Macaca fascicularis: one gene and its partner. The protein of the gene in region 2 interacts with the protein of the main gene of each other region in a pairwise test. Links are inferred from orthologs where the notes say so. Each region holds a gene or a part of one and is shown on either strand. Other genes may lie near its edges.

Region 1 (6,186 bases), on a different chromosome or scaffold from region 2:
TGTAAGTCAAGACGGATGGGCAGATGGACAAACAGGCAGATGGATGCAGAAGTCACTTTTCATCCAGAGTAGTAATGGGATTCTGATATACATTTCATATAATACAGTGAGAGAAAGTATAAGGTAGTGGTTTAATAGAAGAGATTCTATAGTGTTACTGCTTATACTTGAATCCTGTCTTTACCTGTTATTAATAGTATAATCTTGGGCATGTTTTTTAAAGTTCTTTAGTCTCCTATTTTTACCATTGGGAATAATAATGCACCCATATCAGAGGGTTATTGTGAGGATTAAATGACATGAAAAATATTAGGACCACTGCCTGGCTCATATATAGCATTGTCTCGGTGCTTACCATGATTATACATATCGGTACTTTGTGTCTCCACTGTACTTTGTTCTTACCAGTTTACTAAAATATATGAGCACTGTCTTCTCTTAGCCTAATTGTTTGAAGAAAACGTTGCTCACCTCTGGAAAACTTACTTTAAAAAATACATATAGTCGGCCGGGCGCAGTGGCTCACGTCTGTGATCCTAGCACTTTGGGAGGCCGAGATGGGTGGATCACGTCAGGAGATCGAGACCATCCTGGCTAACACGGTGAAACCCCGTCTCTACTAAAAATACAAAAAAAAATTAGCCGGGCATGGTGGCGGGCGCCTGTAGTCCCAGCTACACGGGAGGCTGAGGCAGGAGAATGGCGTGAACCCAGGGGATGCCGAGATCGCGCCACTGCACTCCAGCCTGGGCGACAGAGCGAGACTCCGTCTCTAGAAAAAAACAAACAAAAAAAACATATAGTCAAGTATGGCCGGCTAGCTTCTTCATAATTTGGAGGAAGACTAATAATTACTTAATTAAATCTATAATTAATATATATTATGCTTATCATCTGTTGGATTATAGAGCATGTACTATATATCTATATTTCAGTATCTTCACCATTTTAAGTATTAGGGCCATGGGTGTAAAATGCAGAGTTAAAATAGGTGGTGGTTAGCTGGAGATGTGGCCTTGTCTTAATTTTAGGGAAAAATAGGTGATTTTCGTCATTTTGGAGTATAAACTTTTGCTGCTTCATTTTATTGAAACATTTTGCTTATTGTTGGCTAAGTGCCATAAATTGGTATTTTGTGAATGGTAACCTGACAAAAAATGGTAATTGTGAGGAAATTTCATGCCGGGCTAATCCTTTAAACACGATAGCTGGAGGATAGGTTTAGCTTAGTCTTATTGCATCTCATTTGGGCCCACTAAGATCTCTTTGTGGGATCTTGGAGGGAAGGGATAAAAGCTAAATCCTTGGGAAATGGCCAGATGTGTCTGTACCAGAGGAGTTGTATCTTCTGAAGGCCCTGAGGTCATGTTAAACAAATACAACTTTTTAGTATGTGATGGACACTTCAAAAATCTTAACAGTAACACTCTGTGTTGTTAGTTGGGAGGTCCGAGTTGTGGAAGGAATTGAAGTACCTGAGGTGATGGGGGCCAGACCAAAAGCCAGCCTGTTCACAGGGGATGCGCCTTTCTCCAGGACTGGAGACGTGGCTGGGCGCACACATAGCGCTCCCTGCTGGGTGACCTGCAGAGCAACATGCTGAGCAGCTGGGATTAGGGGCTTCCTGCCAGGAAGTCTGATGGCAGCACTTCGTTTAAATGGAACAACAAACAAAAACATGTGCTTGTTATTTTGGTAAAGGGTATTGGTGCGATCCTTAACCATTCTATATATGACTTCAATGAAAAATAGTGACAGGCTCTTGAATTTTTAATAGGCTTTTATTTTGACAAAAATAAAATGTCATCACTTTTCACTGAGAATGGAAAATTACCTGATGCTGGTGTGTGTGTTTTGGTATGTGGCAACAAAGTTTCCAGAAGGTACATCCAGGAACACTTTGCCTTTGTGCTTATAAAAATACATAGATAGGAAATGTAATCCCACATACAAATTTAGGAACAAAACTTAATCATTTAGAAACACTTTACAGAATTTCTACTGTTCTATTGTAACTTATTTCTAAGGTTACTGGCACTGTGTAAAATACTTAGTCTCATGTGTGTACTTGTTATTAAAAACTATCCAAATGTGTGCTAGTTTTAGGAATGCTGAAGTCATTACACCAACTTCAAGTTGAAAACCGAAGATTAGAGGAACAAATTAAAAACTTGACTGCCAAAAAGGAACGGCTTCAGTTATTGAATGCACAGCTTTCAGTGCCTTTTCCAACAATAACAGCAAATCCTAGTCCGTCTCATCAAATACACACATTTTCAGCACAGACTGGTAAGTGTGAAAATATTTATTTTGTATGTAAAGAAAATAGGCTTTCAATGTTATTTGTATTATAAGTGAGTAATAATTGGTCACCAGTTATATGAAGATGTAGAAAAGGAATGATAGGTCGTTTTTCAAGGGCATAAAGAATCCTGTTAAGTGATCAACTTGAATTTACTCTAACTTCCTTAGTCCATAATATAATGGTAACATTTACTTAAATGTCTAATGATCTCATTATTGATTTAAAGTGATGGTATTCAATATAGATTTTTTTTCCTGTTTAAGTCAGTTAGGAATAGCAAGACTTGATATTTAAGTGGTTTTGATATGGGCTTCAGCATAAGCTTTTAAATAAGCCTTTAATCTTACACATAATGTAATTTAATAGGGTAAATAGGTTTCTTTTTGTCTTTTATTATTCTAGCTCCTACTACTGATTCCTTGAACAGCAGTAAGAGCCCTCATATAGGAAACAGCTTTTTACCTGATAATTCTCTTCCTGTATTAAATCAGGTAATTTTTGTGTGGTTATTTTCATCTGTGTGATTTACTTGTAAATAATAGTATATTATGTCAAATGGTTTTAAATTATTTTAAACAGTTTTGCTGTGTTCTTTCAATTTAGTTTCTCTTCTTACGCTAGGACTTAACCTCCAGTGGACAAAGCACCAGCAGCTCATCAGCTCTTTCTACCCCACCTCCTGCTGGGCAGAGTCCGGCTCAACAAGGCTCAGGAGTGAGTGGAGTTCAGCAGGTCAATGGTGTGACAGTGGGGGCACTAGCTAGTGGAATGCAGCCTGTAACTTCCACCATTCCTGCCGTGTCTGCAGTGGGTGGAATAATTGGAGCTTTGCCAGGTAACCAACTGGCAATTAATGGCATTGTAGGAGCTTTAAATGGGGTTATGCAGACTCCTGTCACAATGTCCCAGAACCCTACCCCTCTCACTCACACAACTGTACCACCTAATGCAACACATCCAATGCCAGCTACACTGACTAACAGGTAAGAAACTTAAGTATGTTTTGGGTTTTTTAGTGTAACTAACGGAGTACCAGTGTTGTCTATGCCTTAGATTGGGGCTTTCAATGTGTTTCTTTGTAGATATACCTTAAGAAGTCTGCCAAAAATTTTAAGTATATTATACACAGAGTACATTTATTTTTGAAACTTAGATTTAAATGAATTCACTTATAGTGACAGCATTAAATATGTTTTGTGCTGAAAATTAGTCTTAATCTGTGATGTCTATTTTTAAATAATAGTTTTTCTTATTTGTATATTGAATTCCTGTATCAAATTCTGAAGAAAGGTAATATAGTGGAGATAACATGAATATTAGTTTCTTAAAATGTATGTAATATTTTTAATATTCTAATCAAAGATTTTGGTATAGGATAAAGGTCATTTATTTATCTGAATTCCCAGGAAGTGAGACTCATTGGTTTCACTGTACTGGAACTACATTTGAATGCTTGTTCAAAACTAGGGGACTAAAGCTATGTTGTTATTAAACATACTATGTTGTTATTAAACATACTTTTGGGGGAATAAATACTTTTAAATGGATTTGCAGTGGGTACTAGAAAGCTGTTTCCTCTAGCTCTCTTCATTGGTGTTTAGTTTTACCATTGGGACCATTAGAAAAGGATAAGTCAAATCAGTAGTATGTTTGGATTCTTTGTTTCAAATATGTGTTTACTTAGTGTGAGTTAAATTATCTTTGAATAATTAAAGATAAATTATTACATATGCCTGTTAGAAACACATGTAAATTTCTATTCCATAAAATAAGGTAGGGCCTATTTGTTTTATAATAAAAAGATTTCTTGACAATGTGAATTCTTGTTTAGCTGTACACATACATATATATATATACACACACACACATAATTTGTACATAATTGTTTTCAAAGTGTTTGGATTAAAAATTGTACTTAAGTTATTAAACATCAAATTGAAAAGTTGTCTTTCATGTTTAAACTTCTAAAAATGCGTTAGAGGTGTGTAGTAAAAAGTAAGAATTGTAATCATTTTTCAGTGCCTCAGGACTAGGATTACTTTCTGACCAGCAAAGACAATTACTTATTCATCAACAGCAGTTTCAGCAGTTGTTAAATTCTCAACAGCTCACACCAGTAAGTTCTTTCTTTTGATAATATTTTATTAGGAGCATGTGTTCTAAGCTGTAATATTCAGTGTGGGTATAGATTTCTCCTTGTTAAATAACATTATTGAATGCATACTCCAAAAAGTTTTTCTTGCCATGTGGTATACAGGCTGTGATACCTGCAGTGATGTCACATTCACTCCTGAACTTAAAAGTGACAGGGCACGTGGCATGGTGCTTCCATAGGCTCTGGTAACACAGTGCCGAATGAGATGTGGTGTGTGTTTTCCCGGAGCTTCATTTTGATACAAGAGATGGATGGACACGATGAACGCTTTTTGGTTCTGATAAATGCTGAGGAGAACAAGGAAGTGGAATAAGGGGGGAAGAGCATAGGGAACCGAGGACCATTTTATATAGGATGGCCCTGCCTCTGCAAGGGGTGACTTTTGAGCACAGACTGACCTAAGAGCTCAGGGAGTACGCCATAGAGAGAAAGCATGTTGGAGGTAAAGGGGCAACTGCTGTCAAAGGCCTGGGCATGCTTGTGTGTGGAAGAGGAGGCAGCAGCAGTGTGGTAAGGGTGGGAGAGGTCAGAGCCAAGCAGGGAGTCTCAGATGATTGCATACAACCTTTCTTGGCTGTGGCAAGAAATTTGGACTTCATCTTGAATACGATGAAAAGCCACTGGCGATTTTTTAAAAAATTTATTACGGAGAATTTCAAGTGTACCAAAAGTAGAGCGGAGAGCACCCTGAAGACCTGTGTAGTCCTCCTCCTCTCACCCGGCACTGACAGTCTCAGTTTTGTTTATCTTATTTCATTCTCCATTTTTTTCAGGATTAAGAATTGGAGGGTTTTGAACAGAATAGTGAAATAATGATTTACATTTTGAAGGATTCGTTTTGCTGCTATATGAAGAATAGTCTGTGTGTATTATAGGGTGTGGGGGAGTGAAGACAGGCAAAAGTGGAAACAGGGAGGGAGTGACCCAGGCAGGAGACGTAGGTGTTAAAATAGTATGGGCTATGTATTGAAAACTGCCTGGAATTGTGGTATATATAGTTATATTTTTGAGATGGAGTTTTGCTCTGTCACCCAGGCTGGAATGCCGTGGCACAATCTGGGCTCCCTGCAACCTCCATCTCCTGGGCTCAAGTGATTATCCTGCCTCAGCCTCCTGAGTAGCTGAGACTACAGGCATGTCCCACCATGCCTGGCTAATTTTTTTTTTTTTTTTTTGTAGACAGGGTTTCACCATGTTGCCCAGGCTGGTCTTGAACTCATGACCTCAAGTGATCTGCCCTTAGCCTTCCAGAGTGCTGGAATTACAGGTGTGAGCCACTGTGCCTAGCCCAGATGTTTTGAAGATAGAACCAACAAGACTTGTTTGCTGGACATACAAGAGAAAGAAGAATTCTGAATGGTTGGATAGTGACTTTTACTGAGATGTGGAAGAACAGAATCCAGCCAGTTTTGGAGAGAAAAATAGGTGTCATGGACACACTAAGTTTGAAATCCCTTTAGATGTGCAAGTCAAGTGGAGATAAGACAGTTGCATAGTAGGTGTCTGGAGTCCCAGGCAAAGATGCAGTTAGAGATAGAAATCTGGGGTTAGTGCTGCACAGGTGATGAGAGCCATGAGATTTGATGCAGACTCCTAGAGCATGAAGATTGAGTCCTGGACACCCTAGAAAAGAATAAGCCAGTAAAGAAAGGCTATTGAGAAACAGTGGCCAGTGAGCCTAGACAAGGACACTGTGGCATCTTAGGGGCCAGGTGAAGGAAATGTT
Region 2 (6,186 bases):
CATGGTGCTAAACTTGCAGATGCGGAGCTAGTCTGGTCACTACCTTTGGGGGTGACAGATATGTACATTCACTATGATAATACCCTAGGTAAAAAAAAGTGGGCAGGCTGCTCCAGGGCATAAAGGAGGCAGCAGCCAGATTGGTTGCGGAGGGCAACCAGTCAGCGGCTGAAGTGAAGTTGAAGTTACAAAGGGACACCCTGTGCAAATGTCTGAGTGGTTGCAGCAAGGAAAGGGAATGGCCTCTGGTCCTTTCGTGACTTAGGTGTGGAAAGTTGGAGTTTTCCTTTTGATTTAGTTCTAGGAAGTCAGCGTGAATAGGCCTTAGGTTCCCTGACTTGGGACTTAATGTTTTAAACAAACTCTTACATATATTACAAGTTTTGAAAAGTTTTCTTTCTGAAAATGTATAAACTTAATTGTATTGTGTTCAAAACCCAGTGGAGATATAAATAGTGTAACAAACAGCCTTTCCGTAGGGAACATTAAGGAATAGGTGGGAATTTAAGAGAATATATTGCATAGATTACCCAAATGGTAGAGACACTAAGTGCCAGCAGTGGTCAAGAAGGGGCAGGATCATCTTCTTTGAATGGGACCAGGCCGGCTAGGTCAGGAAATGTCATGAGATAAACTGACAGTTTCCTTTTGTACTATCTGTTTGCACATGTTATTTATTTAATTCATGTACTCTAATTTTTCTTTTTAGGGCAACAATAGTTTCACTGGAAGACTTTGAACAAAGGCTAAATCAGGCCATTGAACGAAATGCATTTTTAGAAAGTGAACTTGATGAAAAGGAATCTTTGTTGGTCTCTGTACAGAGGTTAAAGGATGAAGCAAGAGGTAAAATTTATGACTTAAAGAATACAATTGACCCTTGAACAATATGGGTTTGAATTGTATGTGTCCACTTATACTCTGATTTTTTTCAACCAAACACGGATTGAAAATACAGTATTCATGCCCTTCAAAACCCTGTATATGGAGGGCGGGCTTTTCGTATATACGGGCCGACTGTGGGACTTCAGTATGCGCCAATTTTGGTGTAGGTGGGGGTCCTGGAACCAATCCCCATGTATACTGAGGGACAACTGTGTTTGTCCTCCCTTACCTTACTGTCCCTATGCCAGAAGAAGCTTAGAGTCAACTTTTTTTTGAGGCATAGTCTCACACTTTCGCCCAGGCTGGAGTGCAATGGTGCATTCTTGGCTCACTGCAAACTCCGCCTCCCAGGTTCAAATGATTCTCCTACCTCAGCCTCTTGAGTAGCTAGGATTACAAGTGCCCACCACCACACCCAGCTGATTTTTGTATTTTTAGTAGAGATGGGGTTTCACCATGTTGGTCAGGCTGGTCTCGAACTCCTGACCTCGTGATCTGGCCACCTTGGCCTCCCAAAGTGCTGGGATTACAGACGTGAGCCACCACGCCTGGCTCCATCTGGCTAAGTAAAAAAATTTTTTTTTGTGGAGATGGTCTCAGTATGTTGGTCAGGCTGGTCTTGAATCCTTGGCCTTAAGTGATCCTTCTGGTTCTGTCTCCCAAAATGTTGGGATTATAGGTGTGAGCCACTGTGCCTGGCTTCTTAACCATTTTAAAGTGTACACTCCAGTAGTGTTAAGTATAGTCAAATTGTTGTGTAAACAAATTTTTAGAAGTTTTTCATCTTGCAAAACTGAAACTATACCTTTTGAATAGCGACTACCCATTTTCCCTTCCCTTCAGCCCCTGGCAACCACAGTTCTACTTTCTATGATACCTCATGTAAGGGAAATTATACTGTATTTGTGACTGGTTTATTTTACTTAGCATAATGTCCTCAAGGTTAATCCATGTGTAGTATGTGACAAAATTTCCTTCTTTAAGGCTGAATAATATTCCATTGTATGTATTCATTTTCTTTATCTGTTCATCTGTGGGTGGACATCGAGTTGCTCCCATCTCTTGCTATTGCAAATGATGCCGCTGGGAACATGGGTGTGCAAATACCTCTTTGAGATCCTGTTTTGAATTCTTTTGGATACATGCCCAAAAGGGGGATGACTTTGTTCCTTTTTTAACATAAGCAAATATTCTGTAGGTTAAATTGCATAATCGGAAAAGATAACATTAATTTTGGGTTAAAAACTTGATATTGGCTGGGTGTGATGGCTCACGCCTGTAATCCCAGAACTTTGGGAGACTGAGGCTGGCAGATCATTTGAGGTTAGGAGTTCGAGACCAGCCTGACCAACATAGTGAAACCCTGTCTCTACTAAAAATAGAAAAAAAATTAGCCAGGTGTGGTGGTGTGCCCCTGTAATCCCAGTTACTTGGGAGGCTGAGGCAGGAGAATCTCTTCAACCCAGGAGGTGGAGGTTGCAGTGAGCCGAGATTGTGTCACTGCACTGTAGCCTGGGCGACAGAGCAAGAAGAATGACAAATATTTAAACCACTCCGAATACTTTTCTAAAACTAAATATTTCATAGTAATAATAGTTAATGCCAACTCATTTAAAATTACAAAAATGCACTTAGTTGATTTTGCAATAACCCCAAAACTACAGCATTTGAAAATAAAAGCAAATGAGTTGGGAAGAATATTTACTTTTGTGTGAATTGTACTGTGGACTCTGCACTGTTACTTTTTGCATACGAGCATAAGTAATTTCTCTCAGATTGTAACATTTTTAAATTCTAAAAGATCATTTAGACAGTAGTTTTGCCATTTTTATTCCCCCTAGAAATAAAGTTGTTAATAATTAAATAGGAAATTCGTTTTTGAGAAATAGTAATTTAGGAAGAAGATCTTTATGACATTTTAGATGTCACTTTTCTTGATATATTTGCTCCCTCTAGTGAATATTCCTGCCCTTGTTTGGAATATTTTACAGATTTAAGGCAAGAACTAGCAGTTCGGGAAAGACAACAGGAAGTAACTAGAAAGTCGGCTCCTAGCTCTCCAACTCTGGACTGTGAAAAGATGGACTCCGCCGTCCAAGCTTCACTCTCTTTGCCAGCTACCCCCGTTGGCAAAGGAACGGAGAACACTTTTCCATCACCGAAAGGTTTGTAATGTCTTTTCTTTTTGAGGCCATGTGTTAGATGATCAGCTTAAGGGGGTTTGTTGCTGAAGGCGGTTGCTAAGGTTTAAAGAGTAATTTTAGTTTAAAAGTTGGTGAAGTCTAGTGCTATGTGAAACAGAAGAAGGAATTGTTTTCCTAGGCCACTCATACATAGGAAACAGTGAAATGATGGCTACATTTAAGATGAGATTTTTAAAAGTTAAAGGTTTTTAGGGAAAATTTATTTTTTGATGATAGCAATAGATTTTGTGATTATAGCAGTACGTTTAGGTAGAAAATTTTAAAAACACAGAAAAAAAAAAGAAAATAAAAATCATGTTATCTTACCACTTACAGGCATCCACCATTAACATTTTGAGTTTTTTTTTCTATTGTGTGCTTGTGTGTGTTTGTGCACATCTCTTTGTCACATACAGATTTGGGGATCATATTTAAATACAGTTTTATTTCTTCCTTTTGCCACTTTCCATGTCCTGAGAGACCTGAGGCCTTTCTACATAGAATGTACAGAGAATCATTAAGTTGCCTTTCAGACTCATGTAAGACCAGCTTGGGTAGACATGCCCATTCTGTTACATGCTTCAGGAGCTGCCATTTTCAAAAGCATCATTCGGAGTAATTGATGATTTGCACATACAGAATACTCACATTGCCATCGCCAGTGCGTTTTTTTAAATCCAGATAAGCAGAAAAACCATCTAGTAGCCACTAGATAGAACCTTACAATAGAATCCTAAAGCTCTCAATTGAGATTTGTTTAGATTTTGCAGCTCGCAGTTCATATTTCGGCTACTCTCATCCCCCCATGCTTTTTTTTTTTCCACCCTATATTGAAGCTGTCATCCCACCCTTTTTAAAATATGGGATTTTATCTTTCAGAATGCTGTGTGGGCAACTAGTACAGTGAGCTCTGTATGTCTGTGCTACTCAGTATATTATCACCAGCCCATGTGGCTATTTAAATGTATATTAAAATGAAATAAAATATAAAATTAAGTTTCTTGGTCACATTAACCACATTTCATGTGCTCAGTAGCCCTTGAGTAGATAATTCAACTTGTCTTTGCCTTGTTACGAGATGATATCAGATAAAGTATGTGCAGGTGCTATATGGTCATAAGGTGTTACTGATTGCACCAGTATGTGCCAGGTTTACTGCTGAGGACAAAGGGCAGGCAGTAGATTATTAGCAGTCACCAGGAGCCCTCATGGTCAGTTTTTCAGACTAGCCACTTGTGTATTCGAAGATTTCCCAATTACATCTGAGGACTAACAGTTTTAGTTTTATATTACTGATTAGAATTATGCAGATCTGAAAATCCTTTAGTTGAAGACTCATCAGAATAGTGAAAAGCCTCAGTTGAGGTGACACCACAGGTGGTGCACATTTTTTTTTAATAGCCCGTTAAGAATTTTCGTTCAGGGACTTGGGGAGTCAACAGGACATGGAGCCTACTCTGACACAGCATGAGATGTGCCAACTGTATGGCAGTAGTATTTGCTTAATAGATATCTTTTTAGTCTGGAACCAATAGCATGAATTTTCACAGGCTAACCTAAAAGCTGCTGTGTACTAGATCACTGCAATTTCATTACAAGAAAGCACGGAATTGGTAGGGCGCAGTGGCTCACGCCTATAATTCCAGCACTTTGGGAGGCTGAGGTGGACGGATCACTAGGTCAGGAGATCGAGACCATCCTGGCTAACACGGTGAAACCCCGTCTCTACTAAAAATACAAAACATTAGCCGGCCGTGGTGGCGGGAGTTTGTAGTCCCAGCTGCTCGGGAGGCTGAGGCAGGAGAATGGCGTGAACCTGGGAGGCGGAGCTTGCAATGAGCCAAGATTGCGCCACTGCACTCCAGCCTGGGCGACAGAGCAAGACTCTGTCTCAAAAAAAAAAAGCACAGAATTGTGAGCAGCAGCAGGTGGTCAGAGAAATCGGTGAGATCTTAGAGCTGATCTTTCTGAAGTGGTCTGTCTTTAATTGTATTTTATTTTTTACAATGTTTCTTTTCCTTTTTTTTTTTTCTTGAGATGGAGTTTTGCTTTTTTTTGCCCAGGCTAGAGTACAATGGTGCGATCTCAGCTCATTGCAACCTCCACCTCCTGGGTTCAAGCGATTTTCCTGCCTCGGCCTCCCAAGTAGCTGGGATTACAGGCACCCTCCACCACACCCAGCTAATTTTGTATTTTTAGTGGAGATGGGGTTTCACTGTGTTGGTCAGGCCAGTCTCAAAGTCCTGACCTCGGGTGATCCACCCACCTCGGCCTCCCAAAGTGCTGAGATTACAGGTGTGAGCCACTGTGCCTGGCTTACAATGTTTGTTTCTAAAAAGCATTTAATGCACCTTACCATAAAAGCACAGGTTTAATAACACCTAAAATATAAAACTCGAATAGGGAAAAATGAGATCTAGAAATCCCTGCCAAGAACAGTACAGCAGTGTTTTATAGCACATCGAGCACCTATTATATGTCATGCATTTTTCTAGATGCTGGGAGCGCAGTGGTAAGACAAAGCCCCTACCTGCAATGAGATTGCATTCTAGAGGAGAAGAAGGATAAGAAACAACAAAAACCCCACTCAAGTATTCTCGTTGCTGATTAGCACTCTGTGGAAAAGAAACATAAAAAATAATAGCTAACCTTTATTGAGTACTTACTATGTGCATTTTTAAAGTACGTTAACTAATTTAAACTTCACAACAACTTTATGATGAGGTAGTTGTTATTTATCCCCTTTTACATATGGGTAACTTACCCAGTGGCTGAACTGGATTTGTATACAGTAGTTCAGCTCAAGAACCCTTAATCATGATGTCATATTATGTCTTAAAAATTAAGAAATGTGCATGACTGAAAACCTTACTGAGTGTGGAAGATGTGGGTAAATATCATGGTAAATACCATGATTCTGAATGGGAAGACTGAATTTTCTTACAATAACCATTCTCCCCAAGTCAATCTATAATTTCAACTTCTAATAAAAAGCCTAACAGGATTTTGAAAATTGGTATGTTGATATTAAAATTATTCTGGAATAGTAAATGTGCAAGAACGGCCGAGAAAAGTTTGAAATAGGCTCATAACAAGAAGGACCTTTGCCTTTTGAGAT

The links. The genes of interacting proteins can lie anywhere in the genome.
Region 1: the proteins of NDEL1 (region 2) and protein AF-10 interact in a two-hybrid assay, tested with the Homo sapiens proteins (2 studies listed by BioGRID and IntAct). The link is inferred for Macaca fascicularis from reciprocal best matches to the Homo sapiens genes NDEL1 and MLLT10.

The regions. Positions count from the first base shown.
Region 1 is NC_088383.1:22,545,315-22,551,500, forward strand, and holds part of protein AF-10, read left to right. Parts: intron 1-2,100; coding exon 2,101-2,289; intron 2,290-2,707; coding exon 2,708-2,796; intron 2,797-2,926; coding exon 2,927-3,288; intron 3,289-4,324; coding exon 4,325-4,421; intron 4,422-5,639; exon of another isoform or gene 5,640-5,727; intron 5,728-6,186. UniProt on the Homo sapiens protein: Probably involved in transcriptional regulation. In vitro or as fusion protein with KMT2A/MLL1 has transactivation activity. Binds to cruciform DNA.
Region 2 is NC_088390.1:8,522,202-8,528,387, forward strand, and holds part of NDEL1 (nuclear distribution protein nudE-like 1), read left to right. Parts: intron 1-709; coding exon 710-846; intron 847-2,876; coding exon 2,877-3,050; intron 3,051-6,186. UniProt on the Homo sapiens protein: Required for organization of the cellular microtubule array and microtubule anchoring at the centrosome. May regulate microtubule organization at least in part by targeting the microtubule severing protein KATNA1 to the centrosome.